Linked DNA regions of Rattus norvegicus. The protein of the gene in region 2 purifies or fractionates together with the protein of the main gene of each other region. This does not show direct contact. Links are inferred from orthologs where the notes say so. Each region holds a gene or a part of one and is shown on either strand. Other genes may lie near its edges.

Region 1 (4,498 bases), on a different chromosome or scaffold from region 2:
GCAAAATACCCGAACACATAAACAAATCTTAAAAACAAAAATATTAAAAAGTAATAAGCTTATGGTCTTTGGAACATTTATGCAGCACCTAGGATAAAACATTATAAACCTTCCAATTTCATGTGGTAGAACACTAAAGTAGAATTAAGTCACCTAAAGCAATGAGAGAGAGCCCAGGGAGGGTGAGCCGGCTCTGCTGGGGAAGAGCCCTGTATCAGCTTTCAGACTCTCAGAGCTTCAGCTGACTGAAGCTCGGCGGCACACATCCCCCTGACTCGCCTTCAGGAACTAACGACACAATACACATTCTTTTCCAGCCCAAGAATAAAGAAAATCTTCAAAAGTAACTGGGGCTGGAGAGATGGCTCAGCGGTAAGAGCACCCGACTGCTCTTCCAGAGGTCATGAGTTCAATTCCCAGCAACCACATGGTGGCTCACAACCATCTGTAAAGAGATCTGATACCCTCTTCTGGTGTATCTGAAGACAGCTACAGTGTATTTATATATAATAAATAAATAAATCTTTAAAAACAAAAAAAAAAAGTAACTGACTTGCCCAATCCCGAACCCTAGGCTTTTCATGTTGAGGTGGTTTAAACTGTCTTTAAAAAGAAATGCTGGCTGGTGATACTGCTCAGCGGAGGAAAGAGCCTACAAACCAAACCACCGGAACTGGAAGTCCAGGACCCACACACGGCAAGAGGAAAACTCCAAAGCTGTTCTCTGACAACCACACCTGTGCCAAGTTCTCTCACAAACACTGACCGAAAGATAAAATCTAAAAAGTGACTAGAGAAACATCCTTTTGTTAAATGTTGGAATGACAAAAGCCCCACTAATGAATCTATTGTGTTAAAACAATTTGCAGAAAATATTCCTGGATTAACTTAAAATTACCTCAAGTGGCTGGGCAGTGGTGGTGAACACCTTTAGTCCCAGCTCTGGGAGGTAGAGGCAGGGGGAATCTCTGAGATGAAGGACAGCCTGGTCTCCCGAGTGAGTTCCAGGACAGCCAGTGCTACACAGAGAAAGCCTGTCTCAAAAAACGAAGCAAAATTAAAAAATAATAATAATAATCTCAAGTGGTCCCAACTAATAGCTAACTCAAATTAGCTAGATGAATAAAATGATTGTTCAATTAATTAGTGTAATTAAATAAAAATTAACTGTGCTCTGAAGTTCAACATCTCTGAAGTATAGATTATATCCAAGGCAGTTACCACACATGACACATCAGAAGACAAAGGGGAGAACACTAATTGGAGTGTTTCTAACAAACAATATTACTATTAACCTTTGTACTTAAAAACAGCTAAAGCACCCCATTTCTGTAGAACCCCCCAAAGTGAAAGCTGTTAAAAAAGAGTGTTAGGTTACAGAACTTTATGTATGTTTTAATGGAATAGTAAACTCCCAGTAACAAAGGAATAAAACTTTGATATTTCAAATACCAAACAAAACAAAAAATACCGCGCACGCGTACACACACAAACACACACACACACACACACACACACACACACACACACACACAAAGCATGTTGGGCAAATGAGGAACAGGTTGGAGAGTAACAGAAAACAGTTAAGTGAAAGTATTACAGGGTAAGAATGTCCCACCAGAATAAGATTTTTCTCCCCCAAGTCATTTCTTGAATTGATTCAGACACCACGAGGAAAAGCTACAATTTTGTAACAACAACACATAAAGCTAACAGCAAGAAGTGGGAAGGAAGAGGCAAAACACTTAACCCAAGCACACCTTAACCCTTCCCTTGTTCACAACCCTGTGAAAATAGAGACAATGGAAACAGACACTCTCTCCCACCCCTAGAGAAAGCAAAGAAAGCGCCCATTCGACGCCCAGCCCTAGTTCTCTGGAATACACACTCCTGAAAGGGAAAAAAAAAAAAATCCCCAAACCACCAGCTCCCAACTGCCGCATGCAGAATTTACTGAATGGCGGCCAAGCGCTGTACACACTGTCCCGAGCCCCGCCGAGGGCTGTCCCAAGTTCTGCACGCTCTGCTTACGATCTGTACCTTCTTCCAACGCGTTCGCCACGGTTGCAGACACCAATGATTTAAAAAACGAGGCGCAAGCGCCCCACCTGGCTCATCCACAGGCGAAGATGAGGAGGAGGAAGATGATCACAATGCATTGGGCTCCCTTAGATTCATCCCTCCAACACACACAAAATGCTGCGTTTGGAGTCATGCACTATGGCCGGAACAGGAGTGGTGATAATCGCTGGGCCGAAGGGAATGAAGACTCCTAAAATAACTTTTATTTCCTTAGTATTATTGAGAGGGGGTGGGGTGGTGAGAGATGAGCGTGTGCATCAGAGTCAGAGGTGTGTGTTTGTGTTGTGTACACGTGGAGGTCAGAGGACAACTCGCGGGAGTCGGTTCGCCTTACCCACCATGTCAGTTCCGGGGATCGAACCCATGTCGTGTCACGCTTGGCTGCAAGCGCCGGTACCCGCTCAGCCACCTCAGAGGCCCGAACAGCAACTTTTAATTGGCCCTTCCTCCTCCGGACCTCCGAGGCCCTCGGGTCACCTGCCTGCCTGGTGCGAGCCGGCTCGGGAGCGGCAGGTGAGGGCGGTGCCCGGCCGGCACGCCCATCGCGCGGCCCCGCGGACGCGGCGAGGCGCTCCGTTATCCGCGAGGCTCGCAGGGCTCCGGAAGGCCAAGTTTCCTCCGCGTCCGGAGGGCGGCGTGGCGGAGCGACACGGGGCTCCCCGGACCTGTGGGCTGCGCGGGAAACAAAAGCCGCGCGCGGGCGAGAGAGCCGGCGCCGCGCTGAGGGGGACGCTGGTGAGGGGCGCCGGCCGCTCCGCCACCCACGCGGGGCCCAGGCCTCCCGCACGCCCCGTCCACGCCACCCCAGGGAAGCCGCGCTAGGGGCGGCAGAAGCGGGACCGCGAGCACGGGGCCGGCTCCCGGGTCCGCCGCGCGCGCGCGCGCACCATCCCCGCGGCCAATGGCGCCCGTACCTGTCGCCGCCGCCGCCGCCGCCACTGCGTCCCTCGCTTCGCGTCTCTCCGCCGCGCGCGCCGCTCAGCCCGCCCAGCAGGCCGCCGCTCCGTCCGCACGCTCGCTCGCTCGCTCAGCCGCGCGCCGGACACCGCCGCCGGAGACTGGCAGCGCCCGCAAGCCGGCTAGTGCGCCGGGCAGCGCCCGCCGTCGTCCCGCCCCCGCCGGCCGCAGGACCCGCCTCCCATAGGGCCGCGGGGCTGTCAATCCGCCCCCAAAAGGCGCGCGGGCTACCGCTCCGCCGGTCCTGATTGGTGGCCGCGCACTGTCTATGCAAATGAGCCTCCGCCCCGTTCGTTTGCATCCCCGCCTCTTCACCGCGGCCCACGTGTCTGGCCCTTGCCCTTTGTGGGGGCCGGAGAGGAGGGATGGAGGAAGCTGACTGATACCTCTTCTCGTTTGCCTCCAGACAGAATACGGACCAGACAAGCGCCTACCTCGTCCGTCTGTCTACCCAGCCCGTCCTTCACGAGGCCGCAGAGGTCAGGCCATGCTGACCCCGGGAAAATAACCTCATGAACTTAAAGATGCTCCTTTAGAGACTGGGAAGAATCCGATCTAGCACCTCTCTCTGGACACCCAGTGGGCGTGAAGACCACGCTTTCCCTTGGGATCTCTGCCTCTGCAACACAGCAGGTAATGAGGTCAGAAAAGAACCCAAAGGATGGGCTGTTGAGCCAAGTTCAGCTTCAAGATGGCACCCCTTCCCCCACCAACTCGCCACCTCTGGGTGACTCCTCAGACGCTCAGATGCTGCACCTTGGGACTTCAGCTCTAACTGTTGGTTTCTTAAAAGATTTTTAGAAGAACGTTTGTGATGAGTGTTTTGCCTAAGGAGGGTGTGTCTGTGTGTGTGTGTGTGTGTGTGTGTGTGTGTGTGTGTGTGTGTGTGTGTGTATCCTGTGAGTGCAGTGCCCAGAAGAGGGCGTCGGATCCCCTGTCACTGGAGTTGTAAGCATCCTGTGCTCTCCCAGAGGCTGGGAAAGCAACCAGCAAGTGCCAGTGCTCATAACAGCTAGGGATCTCTCCAGACACACACACACACACACACACACTCTCTCTCTCTCTCTCTCTCTCTCTCTCTCTCTCTCTCTCTCTCTGGGAGTAAAAGTCCCAATTGCCTATGAAATGTCTTGTAGCCATGTGAGAATCCATGTTTCCTGGTTCCACGTCTGCTTTTTGTTTTAGTTTTGGTTTAATTTGTATTGTCACACTTTAGAACTCAGGAAGATAAATGCCCCCGTGTATGGTGATATATATCAAATGTCTAAATGTCACCATGTGGGTGATCATATGGTCCTTCTTTCCCTATCCTCCAAGACGACTGTGGAAAAGACAAAACTGGTGTAAAGACCCCTGTCTAAGACAGGGGTCCTCCTCAGTCGCTCGCCTTTCCTCAATGATTGGAAACCTCCTTTAACCAACCTCCTGGGGAGTGGCCACATGAATTCAACAACACGCC
Region 2 (3,315 bases):
TAGTGGTATTCTTTTTTGGAAAAATATTCTTTATCAGTAACTGTTAGTTTTCAAACCCAGGACGAAGGGCTGAGGTACCTATTTAACATATCGAAGTGGACCTGCTGCCAGGTTCTCCCTGCATCCCTCAGTCCCTGTCTACTACAGAGTGCTCCAGACTGGCACGCCCCACCCTCTGCCCTAAACTTCTCCAACCCAGGGACTGGGCTGCCCTTTCCCCAGCTGTCCTTTCTTATATAATCCATTTTAGCTCCCCCTCCCGTTTTGAATCTTCCAGCTGCTGTACCTACTTCTGTCTTCCTTCCCCCTTCTCCTCCTACTACTTCTCACATGGCTCAGGAACATGTCCGCTCTGGGCTTTCTCAGCCAGATGTCCATGTCTATGACTATGTCCTATGTCTCCCTCGTATCCGCAATAAACTTTCTCCTTCATTCCTAGGAGTAGTGCCCCCTCCTCCCACCCCCTTTCTCTTTTCATTCAGGAACAAACCTTACTACGGAAATGATACAGTAGACCCAGAAAGGTGACACACAAAGGGCTCAGGTTGTTTAACAACCGTGAGTGGTGCCCATGATATCTGTACCCTCGTTAGTCTTAGGAAAGGCACTTCAGGCTGAAGTTTGTAGTAACTTTATTTTCTAAAAATATGCCCTAAAAGCCCATCCTTACTTATTTAAAAATAAACAGAAACGAAAAGCTTATCTGCACACAGGCTCGATGGAGTCAGCCCAGTGCCCCTCGGAAAGCCTTCAGGTCCTTCTGGAGCAGTTCTGCACCCGGCCTCTGCAGGGCGCGGGCCTCCCAGCAGCTCTGGACGATGTTCTGCAGCGTCTTCCCAGTCAGGGAGGCGGTGAACACCGCCCCTGCCAGTGACGGGCGCAGATTGTAGGCTACCACTGCGTACTGCACGTACTGAGGCTCGCCGGAGTAAGGCACCTCCCTGGTGGTCATCTGCCACAGGGTGATGCCAAAAGAGTAGATGTCGGCTTTGGGCGTGGCGATCTCTCCTTTCAGGAGCTCCGGAGCTTGGTGCGTGTACGTGCCCCCGATGTGGTGAAGGGACGCCTGCCGGCACCGCAGATCCTGAAGCTTCTGGGAGCAGCCGAAGTCACTTATCTTACAAACGTCCTTCTCACTGATCAAAATGTTCGCTGGCTTCAGGTCCAAGTGCAAAATGCTTTGTGAGTGGAGAAAAAGCAGGCCGTTAACAATATCTAGGGAATACTTGAGGCACTTTCCCAAACTCAGTTGCTCTCTGCAGCTGAGAGGCTCTGGGGAGCGGGTGGCACCGTAGATGACTTGGTGTAGAGTCACATTGCCCCCAAACTCCATGATTATGGTACCAAGGCTGTTGGAACCTTCCGGCGTGCGCGTGCTGGCAGCCACAACCCGGACTATGTTGTCGTGGTGCAGCCTTGCAATGTTCAGTTCAGCCCAGAAACTCCGCTGGGATGCACGTAGGTTCCTGGTGCACTTGTTCACTTGCTTGATGGCCACAGGAACACCGTGGTAAGTGGCTTTGTACACCGAGCCAAACCCTCCAGAACCCAGCCTATGCAGCAGGCATACCTGTCCCCAGTCTATGAAGCACCAGGCCAGCCGGCGTGACAGCCGCGGGGCCCGAGGAGGAGTGGCCCCCAGGAACTTCCCCGCCTTCCTCGAGGCCACCAAGGGGCTGCTGCAGGACCTCGAGTCCACCGTTGGCGACAGCTCGCGAGGGAGGTAGCGACACAGGATGAGAGGCGAAGGCATTACACCCTCAGATGGGACAGTCACAAGAGACGCTAGAGAGAAATGACCAGGAACACCCAGGGAAGTTTGGAAGCATGGCTGAAGGTTTCCGCCTTCATCCCATTTCCCTTCTTCTTGTATTCTCAAAACCAGCCACAACTGTGCTCTCACGTCTTGCTGCTCAGCAAGGTTGGTTTTTTGTTTTTTTGTTTTGTTTTTTTTTTTATCAGGTGGGGTTGGGCGTGCAGATGAAGCCTGGCAGTCTCAGATGAAACGATTGCTCTCTCACAGCTAAAGTGAATCCTTAGCAAAACAACCTCTCACCTGTTAAACAGTACTGGCCTGCCCCAAAGCTCACCTCTCCTTCCAACTAATTCTTGAATCATAATACAATGAAAAAACATTTCAAGGACCTTCTGACGATCATTAATTGGTCCTTAGACTGAAGAGAAAAGCAAAAGTACAGTGAACTTGGTGCACACTTTTCAGGCTATAATGATTGTTCGTGCTAGTCTCCAGCTGCATTAAATCAGTCCCAGCAGCTATTGGCTGCAAGAGTTGCAGTACAAACAGCAGACACTTGTTGAACTACTTGGCAGGGTTATTAGATGCAACCTTCATAAGAATTAACATCTGTAATTTTAATGTCTTTGATCCAAATACAATCTCGGATAGAAGGCAGAACTCGTACCTCCTAAGTCCATCAGAAGGGAGCAATCTGACACTGTATTTCATTTAAACAGCAAGTTAAGACTCCTTAACAACACACTGACTTCTACCGTCCCTTCCTTTCCCAGGCAAGTTAGGTCACAGAGCAAGCTTGCTTCAAGACAGATTCTAGACTTCACAGCAAACAAGTTCCTGGAATTTAACGCAGAGTTGGAAGGAGGAAGAAAGGGACAAAGGTGATTGTGATGACCATAGCTGAAAATAACAGCAATCATGGAGAAACAGGAGAAAAGCCAGGACAGACATGCCCAGAGTCACTGGTCCCCATCAGATACTGAACATAAATTCAGGGTCTGGCCGTCAAACCACACATTCGTCGTTTTTGGTTTTATAATAATGTGTTTGCTTTTCATGCCCTATCTTCCGGGGAGTAGGGAAGAACAACAACCTTGCTCTGTTCATTCAAAAACGGTTTCTCAAAGTGGTTAGGAGTTACACTTTCTAGCCACGCAGGAACGTGTTTTTGTGCACATGGTGATAAGTGGTCAGTGTTTATGTGGCAGCTGTGTCCTTCTGACCTCAGAATCACAGATTTTGAGAAGGCAAGTTGATAACAGAGAGCCATTTATATAAAAAACTCAAAGTTCACAAAACTCCAGGTTTCTGCTTAATGGTGATGATATGGTTTAGTGTCATCTTGCACAGAGTATATAATTGTTACAGCCTCGATGCTTTATGTAATAAATTAAGAAAGTAAACATTTAGGGAGAATAAAAGTTGAGTAGTTTCAAATATATTAAGGGACAAAATGTTAAACACGTAAACAGTGGAACATTTTAATAGAACCCCCATTTTGTACATGTATATCAAACCCAACTGAAAAAGGAAAACAGTGAGCGTGACAAAATTTAAGA

Evidence for each region.
Region 1: the proteins of Mos (region 2) and Fkbp5 purify together in Homo sapiens (affinity purification with mass spectrometry; 3 studies listed by BioGRID and IntAct, counting the BioPlex papers as one, with this or other methods). This does not show direct contact. The link is inferred for Rattus norvegicus from reciprocal best matches to the Homo sapiens genes MOS and FKBP5.

The regions. Positions count from the first base shown.
Region 1 is NC_086038.1:6,540,473-6,544,970, forward strand, and holds the start of Fkbp5 (peptidyl-prolyl cis-trans isomerase FKBP5), read right to left. Parts: upstream 3,084-4,498; 5' UTR 2,997-3,083; intron 2,946-2,996; exon of another isoform or gene 2,448-2,945; coding exon of another isoform or gene 2,421-2,447; intron 1-2,420. UniProt on the Homo sapiens protein: Immunophilin protein with PPIase and co-chaperone activities. Component of unligated steroid receptors heterocomplexes through interaction with heat-shock protein 90 (HSP90).
Region 2 is NC_086023.1:21,656,934-21,660,248, forward strand, and holds Mos (proto-oncogene serine/threonine-protein kinase mos), read right to left. Parts: upstream 1,924-3,315; 5' UTR 1,754-1,923; coding exon 725-1,753; 3' UTR 616-724; downstream 1-615.